Linked DNA regions of Coturnix japonica. The protein of the gene in region 2 binds, or shares a complex with, the protein of the main gene of each other region. Links are inferred from orthologs where the notes say so. Each region holds a gene or a part of one and is shown on either strand. Other genes may lie near its edges.

What was found.
Region 1: the proteins of ATP2B1 (region 2) and NPTN are in contact, whole or in part, in a cryo-EM structure (PDB 6A69), measured with the Homo sapiens proteins. The link is inferred for Coturnix japonica from reciprocal best matches to the Homo sapiens genes ATP2B1 and NPTN. Residues at the interface, in NP_001353449.1 of Homo sapiens: Phe954, Asp955, Ile956, Asp957, Glu996, Arg997, Asn998, Val999, Glu1039, Gln1040, Leu1042, Trp1043, Ile1045, Phe1046, Met1049, Gly1050, Leu1052, Leu1053, Gln1056; in NP_036560.1 of Homo sapiens: Arg245, Ser246, Asn248, Arg332, Arg334, Pro339, Pro342, Phe343, Gly345, Ile346, Glu349, Ile350, Ile352, Leu353, Ile356, Ile357, Tyr360.

What each region holds. Positions count from the first base shown.
Region 1 is NC_029525.1:1,569,358-1,580,307, forward strand, and holds the start of NPTN (neuroplastin), read right to left. Parts: upstream 5,432-10,950; 5' UTR 5,278-5,431; coding exon 5,190-5,277; intron 547-5,189; exon of another isoform or gene 532-546; coding exon of another isoform or gene 513-531; intron 1-512. UniProt on the Homo sapiens protein: Probable homophilic and heterophilic cell adhesion molecule involved in long term potentiation at hippocampal excitatory synapses through activation of p38MAPK. May also regulate neurite outgrowth by activating the FGFR1 signaling pathway.
Region 2 is NC_029516.1:39,486,061-39,496,402, reverse strand, and holds part of ATP2B1 (plasma membrane calcium-transporting ATPase 1), read left to right. Parts: intron 1-140; coding exon 141-354; intron 355-485; coding exon 486-697; intron 698-1,768; coding exon 1,769-1,876; intron 1,877-3,820; coding exon 3,821-4,003; intron 4,004-4,372; coding exon 4,373-4,486; coding exon of another isoform or gene 4,487-4,526; intron 4,527-8,685; coding exon 8,686-8,997; 3' UTR 8,998-10,342. UniProt on the Homo sapiens protein: Catalyzes the hydrolysis of ATP coupled with the transport of calcium from the cytoplasm to the extracellular space thereby maintaining intracellular calcium homeostasis.

The DNA.
Region 1 (10,950 bases), on a different chromosome or scaffold from region 2:
TTAATATAAAAACACATTGATGTGACACGGAACACCAAGTTGATTCAAATACATGTTCCTCAGACAGGTCTGAGACTGCATCTGGTATATTGAAATCCCAACCCTCCTCCCAAGAGCAGATAGATAAAATGCTTCTTCATCCCTTTGAACACAGCTGCAAGGCAGAAACCCAGTATCCAGGAGACTGTGGGTTTTTTCCTTCTCTCCATCCAAACCACTGTCCTACCCTACAGCCTCCAACAGTGTAATGGGGGTCCTATTTACCCAGCAACACAGAGAAGGTGGTGATGCACTGGAACAGGTTGCCCAAGGAGGCTGTGGATGCCCCATCCCTGCAGGCATTCAAGGCCAGGCTGGATGTGGCTCTGGGCAGCCTGGGCTGCTGGTTGGTGACCCTGCACACAGCAGGGGGATGGAGCTGGATGAGCACTGTGGGCCTTATCAACTCAGGCCATTCTATAACTCAACCCAGATCAGAGCCCACTGCTCAGTTCCTCCCCACGCATACAAACCTTGCTGCAGCCGAAACATGATACTGACATCTCAGTGCTGTTCTCCACTGCAATCTGAACAGGAACAGTGAAAAAAAAAAGTTTCACTCTCAAAATCTTCTAATTCTTAATGATAGCAGCTATCCACACCTTCTGACACCGCCTGATGAATCCTTCCCAGCTTCCAAAGTTATCATCTTTCTGCTCCAATGAGTTTGCGTCAACACTGAAGCGGTGACTTCAACCACACAGATGACCCAAAAAAGCTTCAAGCTTATCAAGAGAACATGAATCTTTAACAGTCTATCTTACTAGTGGATAAATACTCCCAGGCTGAAATTATTTTTAGATTTAATTAGACTGAATCTCCCCTAACGACAAAAGAAACAATGCAGCACACAACATGAGGGCTGAGGAAGTGAAAGCATTCAATACCAAGTAAGATTTTGATGAAGGCACATAAGAAATGGTTCAGCCAACGATCTCGACTTGAACAACCAGACGTTATTTTTTGATGCTGAGTTTTGACAACTCCCAACTTTAAGCAGCCAATCCTCCTCCACCAGACTGGAACTGCAGACTGTCCGTCCCAGTTCAGTGCCCAAGAAGACAATGGGAGAAACCTATCTGATGAACTAAGCCTCACCGCCCTGCCATGGTTTGAGGCCATTTATCCATGACAACCTGATCTACTGCAAAGTCAGTAAGACACAGATGGAAACAGAAGAGAAAACAGCTGCAATTATCTTATTTTCTACAGGGCAATTATTACTGCTCCCAGACAAAAGCCTCCTACCCCAAAAAAAAAAACTCCATTGACACAGCTTTGCGTATCAGATGTTTATTTTTCATGTATGCAAGCAAGTAGATGAAACATAGATTAAAATAAAATAGCTGATTGCATAGTGTTGTTTCAGTTGACAGAACCAAGGCAAGCTGAAGGCAAGTAGAGGTGGGTGCTCCATTAGATCCAACAGGATGACGACAAGTGGGAGCAGCCATCAGAAGATGCCATTCAGCAGGAGCACCAAGGAACTGCTTGGTGTAGGCAGCCAAGGAACACTAAGCAAGTCCTGCCACGTAAGATGTGGCCATTGTAAAGGATCCCATTGGACACGAGTCAAAAACATACCGCAATAAACGCATGTGTCCTGTGATGCAAATGGGAATGCCATCTGTAAGATGCACGGAGCAATCCTTCCACTCCACTGAGCTTTGGGCCGGCCCCAACTGGAACTGCGGCCAGTTCGACTCATCACATTCCTGAAAACGTGACTGAAAAGCATCAGAAACACTAAGGAAAAATCCAACTTACACAGAATGACCGTGACAACCGACCTAACACAGGAAATAAACGCTGATGGAAAGGGAACACTCCGAACTGTATGGATGTAAGGAATAAAACGCCAGAAGAGGTTTAGGTTCACAGCTAAAAGACCTTTCCAGTTAAAAATAAGCACAATCTGTTTATCCAGCCTTCATCTTAAGAGGTTCCCCAATAGGAATAGTGCCTCCAGCACTTGGAGCTGAGCAGTTTCCACACTGGTTTTACAACCGAAGGATGAATCACAGGCTACCATTGTCCTTTACAATGCAAGGGTTTTTTACGATCTAAACGAGTGCTTACAGCAAAAGAAACAGCTCATTGTGAAGGAGAGAATGCACCTCATTCATGAGCATAACAAGTCGTCTTCCTGAAGGACTCTGTTGCAAGGCCAGTTAATGCTCGCAGTGTACTCCAGCACTTAGCTGCACTTCCACTTGGATTGCTCCTTGACATAATTAAAGCTATTGTTTGAAGTGCCAGTACCAGCAGTTGACGCCTCGTTTACCTGTTAGCAGAGAACTGGAAGAGTTCGATGCGATTTTCAAGCGTATACATCTTAGTCATCTTGCTTGTATTTAAGTTTCCTATGCGGGAGTTGTAGGAGGAAGGAGAATAGAAACGGTGGGGAGAAGAACAGAACTTTGAACATTTTCCTCGATGCTCAGCCCACACTCACGCTCCATAAATGCTGTATGAAACCATCTCTTAGTTTTATCTGGGGACCGCTAAAATCACATCAGAATACCAGAAGGCAATCAGTGCAAAATGGCTGCAAAGCTGCAGCCAGAAACAGCATTCACAATGTAAAAAAAGCATGATTTGAACAATTTTGTCCTTCAGACAAGACACGAAAACCTGCTTTTAAGTGCACGCTGCCAGACCAGAGCTCTGAAATGGAAGAACTGGGAGAAGCGATAATGATTTAGACTGTGTATTGCTGTGATAAAGGCTGCAAATTTAACAGGAGCAGCTGGAGTAGATAGTTGAGCTATCAGCAGAGATACAGCCATGCTCCTTTAAAACCAAACCCTACGAGGTGCAAGTATCCTGAAGTCTTGGTTCTGAAGGAAGCAGCTGCCAAGGTCAAAAACCAGCAACCAGGGAAGGCATGGTGTACACCACCAAAGAGTCAAGCCAAGCACCCTTCCATAAGGAGAACACTGTTCTGAAGTGGTGACTCTCCAACTAACACCAGTTGGAAACTAAAGGTTTATACAGACCCTCCTGACAGACTGATTCTTGCCAGCTGCTCCTCCTGGTGCTTCCTCGCCTCTCTTCTAAGCCTCCTTTTCTCTTGTCAGAAGAAAAAAGGCACTTTGGCCTTTGCTGCATATTGCTGGCTGAGCAGTCCACAACCTGCAGCTTCAACAGGTATGTAACCCAGTGGTGCTGTAAGTAGAACAACCCCTGCCATATTATCTTTCACTAAGGTGATGACCACGTATCAATAACACATCATGGGATTCTTGGGTGTACATTTGGGGTTACTGCTCCCCACACCTTCAAAGCACACCCCTGGCAATGTTTAGATAGTTCCCACTGACAGATTTGCACATACCTTTTCAAGTTCAATTACTTTCAGAACAGCTTACCAGGAGTACCTATAACCCAGAAAACAGCTGTGCTTATTCTTCACATCAAAGCAAAAGCAGAGTTGATTCAGGAAGCATCTCACTGGCCACTAGTTGCAGAAAAATCAGCTCCTCTGTAGCTGAGCCTTTAAACTTGCTTCTCTGCTATGACAGCACTTAATGGAGAGCAGAAATTCAGCTGCAGCAATGCACCTTTTTCAGAAGGATCTCTGCCTTTGGAATGCTCCAGATTAGATTCTCACTTGTTGTGTATATTCCAGATGCTCAGAGTCTCCACCAGCATTTATTGCTGGGACAACCCCAGTTAACCACATAAAAATTAATGAGCTCTCAGAAAACTCCTGGGGTCTGTAATCTCATCTCATACCACAACCTGCTACTGTTACCCTCACGGCAGCAGTGGAAACCAAGAATGAAGCAGAGGAAGGTTAAGACCTTCCAACTACCCCCAGAACGTATTCAACTGTTGAGCTTAAGACACAGAACTAGTGTTAAAACCCAAGTGTCTGCACTGCCTATCAAGCAGCTAGTTAGCATCTTCATATCAGCTGCCTGCATTTGACACCTTGCTTGCTAGTTCAACACATGAGCAGCTTCAAGCACACAACCTATTTAACTCCTGTCACCTTACTTCACCCAAATACCATGGGAAACACAACGTGGGCAGATTAACCCTGCTGACACCATGCTGCAATAGCGCACACTGCATCAATGCAGAAGCAGACTTTGTAGTCACAGCAATCCAACTGGCCACTGACCATCTGGTGCTCCTTAGGAAAGGCCTTCACAATACAGAATGCCCACAGGTTTTTTCCATGCAACAACATGGGTGCTTGGTTAGCAGTCACTGGTTTCAGACTGCAAAACGCACAAGTACTGAGGAAATAAATCCAATCTGGGATCTTTGGGTTGTTATTTCTTACATCTGTGTCTGCTATCACAGGGCTGAAGGCCTCAGGGCTTCTTTCCTGCAGCAAAGGGTCAAAGCCAACCTCATGCTGCAAAGCAAAACCCACCTCAAGAGGAGGAAAGACCAAGACAGCGCAATAACTATACAGCAGAGAGGAAAGGGAGAGGTGAGAGGATGAAGTGACCACAAGCCAGCGGCAATAGGAATGTATGCAAGGTGTGGTTTCTTTGCAGGTAAGGTTTCCTCAACGCACACAAACCTTGCAGCTGAGCTTCTGCCCTTGCCTTGCTCTACTGGCACACAGGGGACCCGGGGCAGCTCAGGAGCCCCCACCCCTCCTTCATGGCCACCTCAAAGCTCACAGTGCCACAGGGAGCAACGAGGAGCTGGCACAGAGCTCCGACAGCCCCCGACCGCCATGCAAACTCATCGGGGAGGAGGCACAGGCGCCACATTTAGCTCACACTCTCCTATAAAGCACAGAGAAGGGTGGTTTCTTTTTCTTCTTCTTTTTTTTTATGCCTCCTCTCTTTTCCGCTCCTATCACAGCACCTCCTTTAGTTGCTAAGGAACTACGACTTTATTGCATTATAAATCACCGAAGGCAACTCGGCAGATGCGGGTTCAGTGGGCGGGAGATGGTCGCTCTGCCGGGCTCCAAGCACCTCAGAACGGCGGAAAGGGGCGAGGGGGGGGGCGGCTTCAACCCCCACCCCACAGCGACCCCCATTCCCCCCGAAACCCTCGTACGGCCTCCCCCGCCCCGCCATGACCCTCGTCCCCCGCCGTAGCCGCCCCCACAGTAACGGCGGCCCCATGGCAACGCGCCCCCTCCCCCCTCCGCTCCGCTCCCCTCACGCCGCCCTCACCGTTCTGCGCGGCGGAGGGAGCCGGCAGCAGCGCGGCCGTCAGCAGCAGCAGGGAGAAGGCGGCGGGGAGCGGGCCGGAGCGAGGCATCCTCCCGGCTGAGGAGGGGAGCGAGGCGGGAGGGAGGGAGGGAAGGGAGGAAGGAGGGCGGCGAAGCGGCTCCGGCTCCGTCCTTCTCCGCCGACCTCCTACCGCAGCGCAGCGCCGGCTCCCGCGACGCCACCGGTGGATCTCGCGAGAGTTGGGCGGGGCGGCCCCGCTGCTCTGGGCGGAGATGGAGGGGTCACGTGACATGCGCGGCGCGGGCTTTGCGTTTTCACCTCAGGCGCCATCTTGTGCCCGCTTCGAGGTGGGCCTGGCGGTGCCATGGGGGTGCAGAGAGCAAATACCATCCTCAGGTCGTGCATCCGTGCACAGTTCCAGTCTCTTTACTTGTGTCCCAGCAAACACAGGGCTGAGGCTGAGGTGATACTCCTGAAATCAGTTTTCCATGACCCAACTAAAACCTCACTTTTATTCTTCATTCTCTACAAATAGCAGATACACAGGAAGGCAGGCCAGGAGCAGCATCAACCAATAATTTTTCCCTCAAGGAATAAGTTGAAACACAACTATCACTTACCCACAAGGAATAAGTTGAAACACAACCATAGCTTACCAACAGGTCTTCCCTCCCCATCCCCCCCCCCTCCCCCCAACATCCCACATTGGATTTTGGATTTCTGTGTGGAATTTACCCAGTGAAAGTATTGCACTTCTTATATTATCAGTGTGAAATGGTGCAGTAGGTAATAAACAGGTGAAAATGCTGAGAGATTCCCTCACGTGGATAGCCTCATAATGCAGAGGTTTGGAGCAAGAGACTATGTGTAATTAGGACCTACCAGCACAGAAGAGCATTTGTTGATAAATATTTTAGAAAGTAAAATAACATTGTGGGGATTTATTCTGGTTTGTTTGTGGGTTTTTTTTTTCCCAAATAAAGGACCCTGCCCCTCTGATTACACAGACTGGAAGCTGAAGCCACAAGAAGTGAATGCATTTGCCTCAGGTTAGCAGTGAAATCGACTGCGGAGAGAGCTCAAAAATTCCCTCCCGGTTCACTGGACCTGCCAGTTGTCCCTAAAAATAGTCAACGTGGTCCCACCTCGAGGCTTGTTTGGTGAGCTGTGAGTAGTCACCCTGGTTTCCTCTATTTCCCAATCTGATTTGGGGTCAGATAGACTAGTTATGTACCATGTTGGTAACCCCAGCTGACTGTAACCCTGATTTAGGTGACATAAAAGCGGATTTTGGACTGTTATCCCTCCTGGGGTGGCATTGACAGTCGGGGTTGACTGCTGAGTGGTTTAACATGTATCCAAGGTAGGGAGATTTGCAGGAAACTGAAAAAAAAAAATCAATGGCACAGGAACACATTGGGAATTAAGACAAAGAAAGAAGGAAATCACTCAAAAGTGTATCTTCTGCTTTGTGCTGAGTCCTCTTTTCCTACTCCAGAGAGCTCTGCAGGCTCAGATCTCCTAGAATAGCTGTCCAAAGATTGCCCAGCCTTCTCTCCCAGCCAGAGAAGGGCCCTGGGAGGACACTAATACAATCAGAAGCTGTTTTCTCTTTCCAGGGAAAACATCCCTGCTGTTAAACCCTATTAATATAGCTTGTTTCATGAGGGTGCAGCCGCTTGATTTTGCATCCCTGAGTACTTTGCTTGGTTAATTCTCAGGAAATAAAATGAGAGTGCTTTCCTTGTTGATGTGACTCGAGGATCAGGCACACCTTTTACATGGAAACCCTGCAACTCCTTTAAAGCTGACAAAAGCACTGCTCCGACACTTCAGGTAAGCTTCCATTCTGCTGAGCTCACAGGAGAGAAACGTTGGGGCTGTTGGCAGTCCTGGCTCTCTAAAGGTGCCATGATACTAAACTCACTCTACATCAGATGTTCCACTGTGCTGCGTATCCTGCACTTGAGTGCTTCCATGCTGCATTTCCATGACTCACTATCCTTGCCAGCTGAATCATCCACGACACTACTATTTGTTTTCTTGCCATGGTACAGAAACATCCTCTTTTCTCCCTTTGTTTGTTTTTCTGTGCAACAATTCTGACAGTAGCACTGGAAAACCAGAAGGAATAAGCAAAAAGAACCAGAAAGCAAAATTTCCACATGATGCTTCCCTTCCCTCTGCTTTCTGCATGCTGTTTTTCCTGCTCCGGAGGATTTTGCTATAACTCTCATTTTTGCAAACACCCACTTGGTATTAGGCCTTACCTACACCCGAGTGTTTTCCAAGTTTGGAACCAGTCAGCGATGTACTTGCCTCTGAGCATGGTTTGTATCTGCACAGTAATACTTGTTTCGTAACCATGGCAGCTCACAGTGAGTCATGCTGCCAGAGGCCTGGGCAGAAGTTAGCAGGAGGCTTCAGCACGCTGTTGTTTCCTTCCATCTTCTCCCCACAATTGTGTAACTCATCTGTTTTTTTGCTCGAGACAGAAGTGCTGTGAGCATATAACGCAAGAAACCAAAGCAGAAGATATCCATGACTGGTGACAAGATCACAATGCTGACCAATTCAAACTCTTCAGGAATCTCTTAGGGAAGTTAACCAGAGTTACTGCAATCCTCAATGTACATGGACATGTATATACTCAGTATCTCAGGTATGCAGCATGACTAGCATGGAATGAAAAGCTGTTTTTTCTCTGTGCACAAGTATATCCTCTTTTACCGGGTCGCATACAACTTACAGTGGAGTTGTATAGAAAAAGAGTTAGCCAGCACTGGGTTAACTAGGTTGATGGTAAGGGAAGTGTTCTACTGCAAAGGGAAGGATTCCACCAGACTGAGTTGTTACAACAGGCCTATAACTAGTGGTGTTCTGTGTGGGTTGGGGCTAGATTTGTTCTTGTTCTACATCTTCATCAGTGACCTGGGTAAGAGGATAGAGTCCATGTCTGCTGATATGAAGCTGAGGGAAGTGTTTGACATACCAGGAGGAGGTGCTGCCATTCAACAAGTCCTGGACAGACTAGAGAGTTGGGCAGGGAGGAACCTGATGAGGTTCAACAAAAGCAAACGTAGAGTCTTGCAGCGAGGGAGGAATAACCACAGGCATCAGTACAGGTTAGGGGCTGGCCTGCAGGAAGGGAGCTTTGAGGAGGACCTGAGTGTCCTGGTGGACAACAGGCTGATCATGAGTCAACAGTGTGCCCTTGTGGCCAAAAAGGCCTATGGTGTCCTGGCGTGCATCAAGAAAAATCAGCCAGCAGGTTGAGAAAGGTGATATTCTCCTCTACTCTGCCCTGGTGAGGCCTCATCTGGAGTACTGTGTCCAGTTCTGAGCTCCCCAGTTCCAAAAGAAACAGGGAGCTGTTTGAGAGTCCAGCAGAGGGACACAAAGATGAGTAAGGGCCTGGAGCATCTCCTGTATGAGGAAAGGCTGAGAGACCTGAGACTATTCAACCTGGAGAAAACTCAGGATCTCATAACTGTTTATAAATATCTAAAGTGCAGGAGTCATACTGACGGGGATGGACCCTTGGTGGCAGGCAGCAATAGAACAAGGGGCAGAAACTGGAACACAGAAAGTTCCATGCTAACACAAGGAAGAACTTCTTTACTGTCAGAGTGACAGAGCACTGGAAGAGGCTGCCCAGAGAGGTGGTGGAGTCTCCTTGTGATATTTAAGACATGTCTGGACGCCTACCTGTGCAACCTGCTGAAAGGAAGCTGCTTTAGTTTGGGGTTGGACTCAGTGATCTCTAGAAGTCCTTTCCAACCCCTATAGTTCTGTGAATCTGTAATACAATGGCTTATAGGTGATGATTTTATTGATGTTTTTTCTTGCTTGTGTGGGCATAGTGATTCCTAACCTTGTGAACAGCAAGGGGAGCTCAGGCTTATTGAAGTTCCCAAACATTAACTCAAACTCCTTGCATTTCCCCTTTCTCTCAAGACCCATCTTTTCACCCAGCATTTTGGTTATTCTGAGACTTCAGCAAAAGCAGGACTGCAAAAAAAATCAGATTCAAAGCAAACAAAGAGGAAGAAAAATCAGCAGTTCCTGTGCTTTACAGAACAGCAGGGAAGGGTTGTCTTTGTGCGTGTGCACGTGTGTCATCTTGGAGCTGTCGTCTTGCAACTGGGAGTGTTTAAGACATCCTGTTATTTTGATGTATTTATTGATACACTTTGGCACTTGAAGAAAGCTTTGCCTCTGGAAGGCTCACTCACAGTCACCTTCTTTGGAATCTATTATTGGAAAGTTGAAAATGTAGGGTAGAGCATGAAATGCTCAATGACGTCTAGCAGCAAAACTCAGCTACTGCAGCTGTTGTCAGGGCTGAGAAACACTGAATAACGCTGGTTAAGACTTTGACATGCCAGCAAAAGCACAGATCTATGCTTCAGCTGGCTCAAATCAGCTTGTAGACACACACACAATGCCTCCGCCTTGCAAGACCGCATTAAGTGCATGATCACACTGCGTTTGCATTGTATGTGCAGAGATGAATGAGCAAACACAATGCAGCATGTGTGTATGCTTATGTGTTACATAAGGCTGGCCAGACTCAGACTCAGCTGCTGGCCCTCAGGAGTTGTTTCTTGCCTTACAGAATCCTAAGTAGCTCTGGCCCTTAGGTCATGCATGCATCATGCTCATCTCCCTAAAGGCAGGTGGGGAATACTGTTAATCTAATGAGATAACAGAACACCGGCTCCTCCCTGGGCTGTTCAGGAGAGCCATCAGGACAGAGGTGACACCCATCCCTTTGAGTCACCAGGAAGGTTCTCTGGCAGTCCTTACAGATGCCCTTTCTGCCTAAGGGTCTGGGACTGCTGGCTAGGATTCATCCTACACACACTCCAGAGTGGGTGTAGAAGCAAGTGTCTATATTGGGAACACAGGCTCAGCATCATTGCTGGCTGGGCATGAGGACATGGAGCTGCAGGACTGAGCTGCTGGATGCAGCAACTCCTGCTGCCAGCAATCTAAGATTATGGTGAGGAAATGCCGATAGGGAGAAGAAAAAAGAGAGAGAAAAAGAAGAAACCCAGGTGATTTTGTGCAAAGAAATCTAAGAAAATGACAGAGAAGCAAGAAGCAGCAGGAAAGGAGGTGGGAGGAAAAAAAAAGAAGATTGAACTAAAGAAATGGCGCTCTGAACTATGAGAGAGAGAGAGGAAAAGCTTGTAAAACCAGAGACAAGCTTGTAAAATCATTTTCTGAGGAAAAAGGAAGACTTCAGGCTAGCAGTGAGAAAGGAATATAGATGTACTTTCTTACTTTGCAGAAAGGTGGCTTTCCACATCTCAGCTCCACTGGGTAATGGCAGTTTGGTTATTTCTAGCCACCCTCCCATCCTCCTACATGCTCAAATGTTCCCGTCAGAAATGGTCAAAGTGTTTGAACTGATTTTTTTTTTTTCCTAAGGAGAAATGTCCTTTCAAACAAAACAAGCGTTGTGACAGAAAAGGTAATTCCAGAGAGAACAATTCACAATGAGAGTGAGAAAAACAAATCCAAGGAGAAATCCTGGCATACTTGATTTCATCAGTCTGAAATCTGCCTTCTAATTTTCTGCAGGAAAGACATAAAACAAAGAGGAATGAAGTTGATTTTTCCCCTCTCCCTGACCCAACCCTGAAGTTATTCATTTCAATCGCAGTCCAGCTCAGCCATGCAGTAATGCTTTCTCCACCCAATCTTTTAGGAGACCGGGTCCAACAGATTTAGGTTTCCAGATGCAGATACACAA
Region 2 (10,342 bases):
TCTTGAATTCAGCTTTCAGTTGTACGCTAGCCTGAAAAATGTAATGCCCTTCAAAATGTGACAGTGTTTTATAACAAATGCCTTTAATAGCTGTAGTTTGTTCACTTGTACTGGAGGGGCTTACCTTTCTGTCTTTATAGGATTCTCCCCTGAAAGCTGTGCAGATGCTGTGGGTAAATCTGATTATGGACACATTTGCTTCTCTTGCCTTGGCGACAGAACCACCCACCGAAGCTCTATTGCTAAGAAAGCCATATGGCAGGAACAAACCTCTTATATCCCGTACCATGATGAAGAACATTCTGGGCCACGCTGTCTACCAACTCGTAGTGGTCTTTACACTCCTGTTTGCTGGTAAGAACTGGACAGAGATGAAGACTTTAAAATCTATTTTACTTTTTTCCCCTAATTTTAGTACATGTTCTATCTATCTGTGTACATAAAGCCACCAATTTAAGCTACTGACTTAATGTCTTTATGCACAGGTGAGAAAATTTTTGATATTGATAGCGGAAGAAATGCACCTCTGCATGCCCCTCCTTCAGAGCATTATACTATTGTCTTTAATACGTTTGTAATGATGCAGCTTTTTAATGAAATTAATGCCCGGAAAATTCATGGTGAAAGAAACGTTTTTGAAGGAATCTTTAACAACGCCATCTTCTGTACTATTGTTCTGGGAACATTTGTTGTGCAGGTGAGTAACTTATTGCTTATGTTGGAAATGCTAACCAACTAATGCTTCCGCAACCAGACATTTTATTTCTGTGAAGAATGGGCAACATCATACTATTAATAATTAAAAATAATGATTGACTAATAACAGTGAAATAGCCAACAATTCAATTTTAATATTCTTATGATTTAATTATTTTTTATTTTCACACAGTTTATTTTGGACATGAGTAATCTCAGGTGTAGGATGGATCTTAACCTTGGGATTCCTTGAATCTTAACAAACATATAACAATTCAAGCAACGCAAATGTATGCAATTCTACTTTGCGTAAAGTTGCTTCACTTAATCTACTCATCCGTCATAAGTGCAGTAGACTTGTTTTGAGACAAACCCAAATACATAGGAATTAATCCTGCCTGCAGTTTTGTTCTCTTTATCAGCGATTCATAAGGGGCTTACATTCCCATATAAGTTAGTTCTGTGTTTTTGCACAGTGTCTTATTCTTTGTTAATAATAAAAGATACTCCTGGGCTTTCCAGTGTCAGGAGCCCTATTTAATGGCTGATACTGTCTCCTTTGATGCTTGCCCTGCTGCTTGAATGTTTATTCTCCAGGGCAGCGTTCCATGCATATAGTTCCTATGCAGTGGGATACCTTACTCATTAGGGCCTGTGCAGCTTGTTGTAAGTAGATAAGTCAGTGAGGATGCGTTTAACTTGGCTTTCAGATTTCAGCCCATCATCATAGTTTTTATGTCAAACTGTCATGCTTAAGACTGGGATGTAGTAATATTCTGTTGAGCGATTTCTGAAATGCATGTGTTTTGGATATCTGAGACTTGCATTAATAGAAGATCGTTAGTTAACTTGGATCATTAGTTAACTTCGTTCTGAGATGGCTGAACTGAATTTGTAGTGTCAAGTACATAAAACCATTTATTTTTGTATACCATTTGAAGAATAATTGTGTGCTTAATGAGATAGTAAATCCAGTGTTTTAATGCAGAGTTGTCTATGATGGTCTTGAAGCTCTAGGGAGTTTTCTAGTAATGGATCACTGATACATGTTTAATGATATTGTTCTTCACAGGTAATTATTGTGCAGTTTGGTGGAAAACCTTTCAGTTGCTCAAAACTTTCAATTGAACAGTGGCTGTGGTCTGTTTTCCTGGGCATGGGAACACTACTCTGGGGCCAGGTAAAAATAGAATTTTTTCTAAATGTCAAATCCAGTTGTGTTAATGAATTTGTATTTTCCATGTGTAAGAGATTATTCTTTTATACCATTGACTCAAAGCTTGCTGAAGGACACAGATGAACAGGTCTACCTTAAGCATTCTGATCTTTGAAGTGGACTATACATTTGTGGAAATTAACTGTGAATGCTGCCTAAAACTACCTGGGTTAATAGCTAGTAAGTCTGCAGTTAGACATTCCTTACTAATAACTAACTAATCAAGCAAGTTAAAGTCATAACTAGATACTATGTCTGGTTTAGGACAGTTAGAAGGAAGTTTTTCACACAGAGAGTGGTAAAGCACTAAAACAGGTTGCCCAAGGAGGTTGTGGATGCCCCATCCCTGCAGGCATTCAAGGCCAGGCTGGATGTGGCTCTGGGCAGCCTGGTCTATTGGTTGCTGACCCTGCACACAGCAGGGGGGCTGCAACTGGATGATCACTGTGGTCATCTTCAACCCAGGCCATTCTGTGATTCTGTATTTACATTCAGTAATTTTTAAGTAGAAGCAGCTGTAGTTGCCTTTAAATATGAAATTGTCTTCAGCCAGATAAACACAAGAACAACTTCTGTAAGAACATGAGGCAATTCATATGCTAATGTTTCAGTGTATTTGACGTAATGTTGAATGGTTTTCTTGAAAAATGGGTAAGTTATGTGTGCCAGTCGTTTTTCTTTAAAGATATCCTAGAGTAGCAGGAAATGCAGCAAAACTCAAAAGTTTTCTCTTTAAAAATCTTCATTTGCATAATTATGGAATATACTTTTAAGCTGACTGCATTTTCATTATTTTCTTCCTTGGGGTTTCTTTGCTGTTGCACATGCAGCAGTACTTGTGAGCTTATTTACATGAAACTTTAGAACTCTGTGTAGTTTCTCATTAGTTAATGACATGGTTGTCTAAATTCTTTATACCACATGAAGACTTTTCCAGTACGGTTTCTTCCCTTCTAATTTGTAAAGAATACCTTTTCAGGGTGAATTTTAGTTGTAAATAAATACATAAACGCATATTCTAAATGTGGGTATTAACTTTTTAAAGAAGGCTTAAAAATTGAATAGAGTCATTCTGAGGTTTAAAAGCAGCCTCATAGAGAGTCATGGCAGCTTGAAATACCTTTGATCCAAAGCATCCTGGAAGTGCAGAGCTTCCCTGCTGCAGTTCATGCTGCTCTAGTGTCTGATCATAGTGAAAGACCTTTTGACTTTCTGCTAATAGTAGAAACTGAAGTCATAGTAACAATGTCAGTATGAAAGGCAGTTTATCTCGCTTTTGGAGCAGTCTTTTTTCTTTGCAGCTTCTGAAATGGCCTTCTAGATTAATGATGCTCAAGGAAAGCAGGCTTGGAACTGATGTGGATCTGCTAGATGGGATGTATCAAAAGATGATTCTCCTTCACTACATAGTTCAACAGAATAGCCCTGAAGGTGTGGATGAAAAGGAAAGCCGGAAAAGACATATATAGCTTCTGTTTAGCTTCAGCTAGATTAATTAATTAAAAACAAGTAGCGATATAATACAAACAACTAGCAATTTAGTAGCTTGATGTAGGGGTTTTGGAAACATCGCTGACCTTGCAAGTGGATCAATACCGCTCAGGTGACAAAAGAATGCCTGCCTCTTCTGTATTTCTGAATAAGCTGTGGCCACTTCTAATTAAATGTTATTGAGGTTGTGAGAAAGCTTAAGAGTTGTGCAGCCATTCATCTGGAGTGACGGCTCTACACTGATGCACTTAGCCATTTACATCTTTTTTTTTTTTCTTTTTTCTTTCTTTTTTTCCAACTTTGCTAATCGTGTATACAGGATATTATGTCAAGCTGTATGTTATTATGTTTGTTCTTTTTCTTTTTTTTCTTCCCTTAAAACAATAATTCTGATACCTATTTCTTATTCGCTGTTAGTTGATTTCAACAATCCCAACTAGCCGCCTGAAATTTCTTAAGGAAGCTGGTCATGGAACACAAAAGGAAGAGATTCCTGAAGAAGAGTTAGCAGAAGACGTGGAGGAGATTGACCATGCTGAACGAGAATTACGTCGTGGTCAGATCTTGTGGTTTAGGGGCCTAAACAGAATACAAACTCAGGTATGGTCTTGGAAAAGGTAGGATGCGGTGCGTGTTAGGAGGGGAATCACTCTTCTCCATCCCCAGTCCTTTGACTACGGTGGCAGTTTTAAATGGTGTGGATGAGACTCTCGAGGGGATATGGATGACTGTACAATCCCTCAGGGTTCTCTGTTTTCTTCTACTCTAAGTTCAGCTCTTCCCTGTGTATCTACTGTATTTAAACAAAAAAAGTGCCTTTTTTTTCTTTACTTTTTTGTGTGCTATAGATGGGGATGGTCCTCTCTTGTTCTCTCTCTTTCTCGATCTCTCTCTCTCTCTCTCTCTCTCTCTCTTTCTCTCTCTCTCTCTCTTGCTGAGCAAGCTGTCACAATCTCTGATTCCTTGCAGATGGATGTAGTGAATGCTTTCCAGAGTGGAAGTACCATTCAGGGGGCTCTAAGGCGGCAACCCTCCATCGCCAGCCAGCACCATGATGTAACAAATATTTCTACCCCTACACATGTAGTGTTTTCCTCTACTACTGCTTCTACTACTGTGGGGTGTGAGTGTGTGTTCCTAAAGTGCATGAAGTTAACATTTCCTGATTCACATACCTAACGTTTCTCATTTTCTCCTTAGTACTTAAACTCATCGTTCAGGCTTTTCATAGAGCTTTTTCACAAAGTGGAGTCCTCGAGGCTTTTTTTTCTTAGAGGGCTGAGAACAGGTGGAACAATTGCAACAAAAGACTTTCACTTTAAAGCTGTGAGCCTGCACATCCTGTGCCTTCATCCATTCGTGTACAGAGGAATGCTTAGGATAAAACAGGAAAACTGTTGTAAATTTTCGAGTATATGCCGTGAAAGTCACCTTATGTGGGTGACTTCTGTTGAATAAGCAAATTGATTAAATGTATAATCGTAGATCTAGTTCAACTCTCTTGCACTACACAGAGCACAGATGATACTTGAGAAGGTGAAGAAACGGATGGAAAAGCCATGCTGTTTTAAAAATAAGAATGTAGTTAGAGAACATGGGGCACTAAATGCATTTTCTTTGTAGCTTGTGAGGAACTTCTGAGTCTCTGCTTTCTGTGGACTTATTTATTTATTTTTTTATTTTTTACTGAATAACACAACTTTCTCAACACCAGGATTCAGGTGGCGAAACAAGGCTTCCCTTAAATGCATACAGTTCAGAAGAAACATAGCTCATGAAAAAGAAGAAGGGCTTAAGCGCTAAGTAGTGAAACTTTGGTTCACATTTGAAGAGTTTCTTTTCCTTTCTAGGTTCTTCAGACAGCAGTTCATAAGCCATCAGTAGCAGTACAGTTCTTGTCTCACCTCAATTCTGCCCTCTTTATATTGTACTCTAAGTGGCATTTCAGTTTCAGCCTTCCTCTTTGTAGAAGCTAGAGATTTAATTACTCATATGTAGGCTTTAATTATGGAGTCTGAAGATGTGTAACAGTTATAGATATTAGCTCTCAGTATTCAACTATTGCTGAAGCCATTTTCCATCTTAGTTATGTAATATATGTTTAACTTCCCTCTCTTAACTTCCTATAGACCAGTTAAAGAATTGTTTTTAAAAATAACTGTGAGAAGGCTTCTTTTCCCCACCCCTGCCCTGCTTTTTAAGCTTTCAGATTACCAAGTGGATGAAGACCCTTAATTTCAGGAGCTGCCTTAAATGTTTTCTTCTAATTCCTTTATTTTTATGGGGTTTTTGACATGGCTAGAATTTCTGTGTTAGCTTGCACAAGCTAACTCATTCTTCCTTGGCGACACAGATACTTCCCTATCCTGCAAGTGAGTGGTATTGAGAAGCTTAGCTCGCAAATTTGCATGCCTGAAGCTCACAAAATGAAAAGTAGATTTAAGAGTAAGGATATGCAGGATTGCATCTCCTACTTAAAATGGTAATGAGTAACCTGTATCCCTAACTACACTCAAGAACATTAATTAGACATTGAGAACTCTCTAGAGAGCAACTTCATGCCATGCTGTCATTTGAGCAGAACCTAATGGGTACTGCATCATCTCATTGCATCAAATGACCAATGCAGATACAAAGCTACAAAAACAACAACAACAAAAAATACCTAGTTTTTGATATTCACTATGAAATACAGCCTTCTGCTATTCCCTCTAGGAGAACATCTTTTGATAGCTAATGTATATTAGTGGCAAACAGACAAGTTTGTTCATTGTTGTCTTTTTTGGAGCTGTTAGCTAGAAGATAGTTCACATGTACTAAGGTTGCTATTCCAAAGCAGCTGTCAGTCCAGTAAGATTTGGAGTGCTTACTTGCATTCCTTACTATCCTGGTACCTAATATAGGAAAGGCCTGAAGATATCATAGATTGTGCTGTTCGCTCCTCACTTATTCAATTTTATAGTTAGCTCTCTTGCTTCATTATCTTGAGTAGCTGAAAATAAAGCCTTAAAAATGTTAGATGTTTGTCTTTTAAGTGTAAGGTAAAATGCTGGTAGTCTTATTTCAACTGTTCGCAGCCAGACGTTATAAGGATCCTTAGCAGGGTTCATAAGATCATCCAGGTCAGTTGTTTGTCTTTATGTGAATCACACTTTCATTATAGATATCCTTATATTCTTATGATAATTACAGCTCTCCTATTAAGCTGAAAAACTGTTTTTCGTTACTGCTTATGCTGTAACATACCATCTGTAAGGAATGAAAAACTAGTACCGTAAGGCAGTCCTATTTCATTTTGCCACTGAAATCAGTGGCACAGTAGGATGCAACATGCCAGATCTTTATTTGGCATTGCAAACTTTCAGTCTGACACTGTCACTCCTAATTCACTTGGAAAGTACCAAGAGATTTTATGCAGCACTCTGGGTTTGTTTAAGTCTCACATAACGTGCAAACTCTTAAAAAGTGTGCTCAATTTTTCATGTGATAAACAGTAAAGCATTAGATGCCTCTGTAACCATTTATCTCTCAAGCTCATCAACACTATTTCCTGTCTTCTCCTTTCTGAATATCATGTATCCTTCCTGTCCTCTTGAAATGATTTTCATCATCAGTGGAGCTCAGCTGCATGCGTGCAGTATGAAAATGTGGACTTTATAGCTTTTTAGTAAAATTCTTAATGACCACTGGGGCAGGGATAGGGGAAACAACACCTATTTCTGGATATCAAAGAACGTGGTCAGAACCGATGTGGTGTATACAGAGCTTCTATGGTAACAAACTTCGCGCACTGCTGCTGGGGAATCCTTTTCAGTTTGCACTAAGAGGATGTTTGGTGTATCTTAACTCTTCTGAAGTCAATATTCCCATCTTTCTTGACCTTCCAGCTTCATTCCTTCACCTGGTATTGCTTCTTTTTTACTACTAAGGAACTCGGCACATCCTGTTTGGAAGCAGTAATCCTGATATACTTCTCAGCTTGAAACAAGTCATCTGGGATGTCCTAAAATTTGGCTTACTGTTCTGTAACAGTAAGTTGCTCTGTACTACAGAGTTTTGCTCTGCTTCGTATTGTACTGTGCAGGAACTTTTTGTGTACTTTCCTGAAGACTTACTCAGGTTACTTAGAGATGCTGAGTATTGAACAGGCAGAAGCTAACAGAAGTTGGAAAATGTGTTTTGATTGAAGTATTGGACAAAGGGGTCATTGGCTTGTCATTAAATATGTTATATCAAATCAAGAATGAATCCTGAATTAATGAGTTGGTCAGGGAATTGTGGGGCACAGGAGAAGAGGTAGATGAGCAGGTGGCTTCATCCTTCAAACCATAATTGGAAAAGTGTAAATTCCCGTCATCTTGGACATGTACATTTTGTAAAATGAAGTTACCCCTTTTTACTATCCAATTTCGTATCGAATATCGTTCTGAAATGTTTGTTTGCGGTTTCTTTAAACTTGGTGTTCTGATTTGCACGTGTTAGTTAAACAATGAAGAGACTTGAAATTATGTTCAGCCTGGGAATTTTATCCATGCGTTCATTGGAAGCTGAAAACCCAAGTAAGCTAAAGCTGATCACCTGCATCTCTTGTATTTAGTGTTGCTTGAATAGTCTCTTCCAAGTTATAACCCATTGTAGCTACATCTTCAGTGTACAATACAGCATTCAGTTCCCGAGTTCTGGCACTAAGCTTCCAAATCATTAAGTAAGAAACTTTCTCCACTGTGGTAGATGGGTATATACTCGAACATTTACAGCTGTTTATAGTTAGTCATATCCTTTATTGCATGACTTCGTTACTGTCTGGTCATTGTGACATTGGCTTTCACATGCTTGGCTTTTTCATAGTCAGTTGACATCCTAAATTCCCAGCATGAGAATTAGTAACTCTTTTACCCTTTAACTTACTTCCAGCCTTTTCCACCCCCCTCAGTATTCTATAAAACTCACTGAAAATTATTTGATTTGCAAATAAGTAATTGTTGGCCTCATTTAAAGAAGTGCTTTGCCCACGTTAAGTAATTAAGCAATTCTATTGCCATGTCTGAATTTTAGGCCCTTCAGCTTCTTGCAGTACTTTCACTGTTTCTATTCCTACTTTGTAGACTGGCAGTGCTCTACTGAAACGCTTTTCATTTTTTACAGTGTATTGCAAGTTCCACTGCATCACATACAAATTCGAATCACTCATGTCTAGCTGTTTGTGGACTCAAAACTCATAAGAACTATGTCATGGCCAGTAAATCTGCGGCATGTTAACTACCTTTTTTCTTTGTTTGCAGATTCGAGTGGTGAATGCATTTCGTAGTTCTTTGTATGAGGGGCTACAGAAACCTGAGACACGAAGTTCAATTCACAATTTTATGACGCATCCTGAGTTTAGAATAGAAGACTCCGAGCCTCATATTCCCCTAATTGACGATACTGATGCTGAAGATGATGCTCCAACAAAACGCAACTCTACTCCCCCACCCTCTCCCAATAAAAACAACAATGCGGTTGACAGTGGAATTCACCTTACAACAGACATGAACAAGTCTGCTACCTCTTCATCCCCAGGGAGCCCGCTACATAGTTTGGAAACATCACTCTGATTGTAAGCTGAATGTTAACACACTAGCTGCATTGTAAAGAAATTGAAACTGGGTCTCTTCACACTTTATGATGGACAAGATGAGATTCTTGTCTTGGACTTCAACAGAAGACACACTTGTACGAATGTAGATTTATTTTTTTAAACAAAAAAGCTTTCTGCCAGACTGGAGGGTGCTTTTCTGGGGGTGGGAGTAATAATGAACTCTGACAGATGAACAGTAACTCGGCATAAGTGACCTGTGGATCATCTGTTGTACTTAAGAATGGTCCCGAACAGTGTGTTTAGCAGAGCTTTAGTTTATCATGATCCTTTTTTGAGGGGAAAGCTGGGAAGGGCAAGGAGGCCCTGGATCGTTGAATTGATACTTTAATTTCTGCTGTTGGCTGTTAATAATTTGGATTATTTATGTTTATAAATGATACAGATCTGTTTACAAGGTTTGTAGATACTTTTTTGTTCCTGTTCATAGATGGGAAGCTTCCTTATAAATGACGCAGAGAAAAATAATAATAATAATAAATAATAATAAAATAAAAATATTAAAAAAAAAAACTAGTCCTTCAAATACTGCTGTATTTTCAGGAAAAGGGTGTTTCTATTGAAACTGTACTAAATTTTGCCTGCAATTTACCTTGTTAAATATTGTAGATAAATTGCTGATACTAATAGCCAAATAGATAACACTAATGCTTTGTAAAAACATGAGCAGTGGTGTTCTAATGAAGTTATGGCCTCTGTCCTGATTAGTTTCTTAAATACATTTACTACTTAATGGTTTTGAAACAACTGTTTAATTTTTAAAAATTTTGAGAAACTTAACTGAATAACTTTTGTTCAGAACTTAGTAGGATTGTTTAACGCAGGACATCAATATGTGATGGAACTTGCTTGAAACATTTCTGTTATCTCGGGCAAAATGGATTAAATCAAAATACATCAGAATCTTAGTCCTTTGTTTTTGTCTAAACATGTTAGTTTAGTGCTGTCTTGGTGAACTGTGAGTGGAACTGTGATTTTTTTCTAATCTATAAAATCCTTCATGCAGCATGAGGGCTGTTGGCATTTTGAAAGGTTGTTAGTGGGTAGCATACATGTTCTCCTTTTTGTTTTTGAAACTTGTTTGTAAACATGAATAAACCTGCCCTTTTGTTAAAATAAAATTGCAGCGATGGTTTATTACAGATTTTTTTATTATTATTATTTTATTTTTTTTCCCTCAGCTCCATCACAGGAAACACTGAAAAGTACTCTCTTGTATTACTGGTTAAAACTACTTTTAGCTACAATTTCAAGATGGTAACAGCCCCACTATAAGTAGGACTTGCAGGTAAATGGAATTGCGG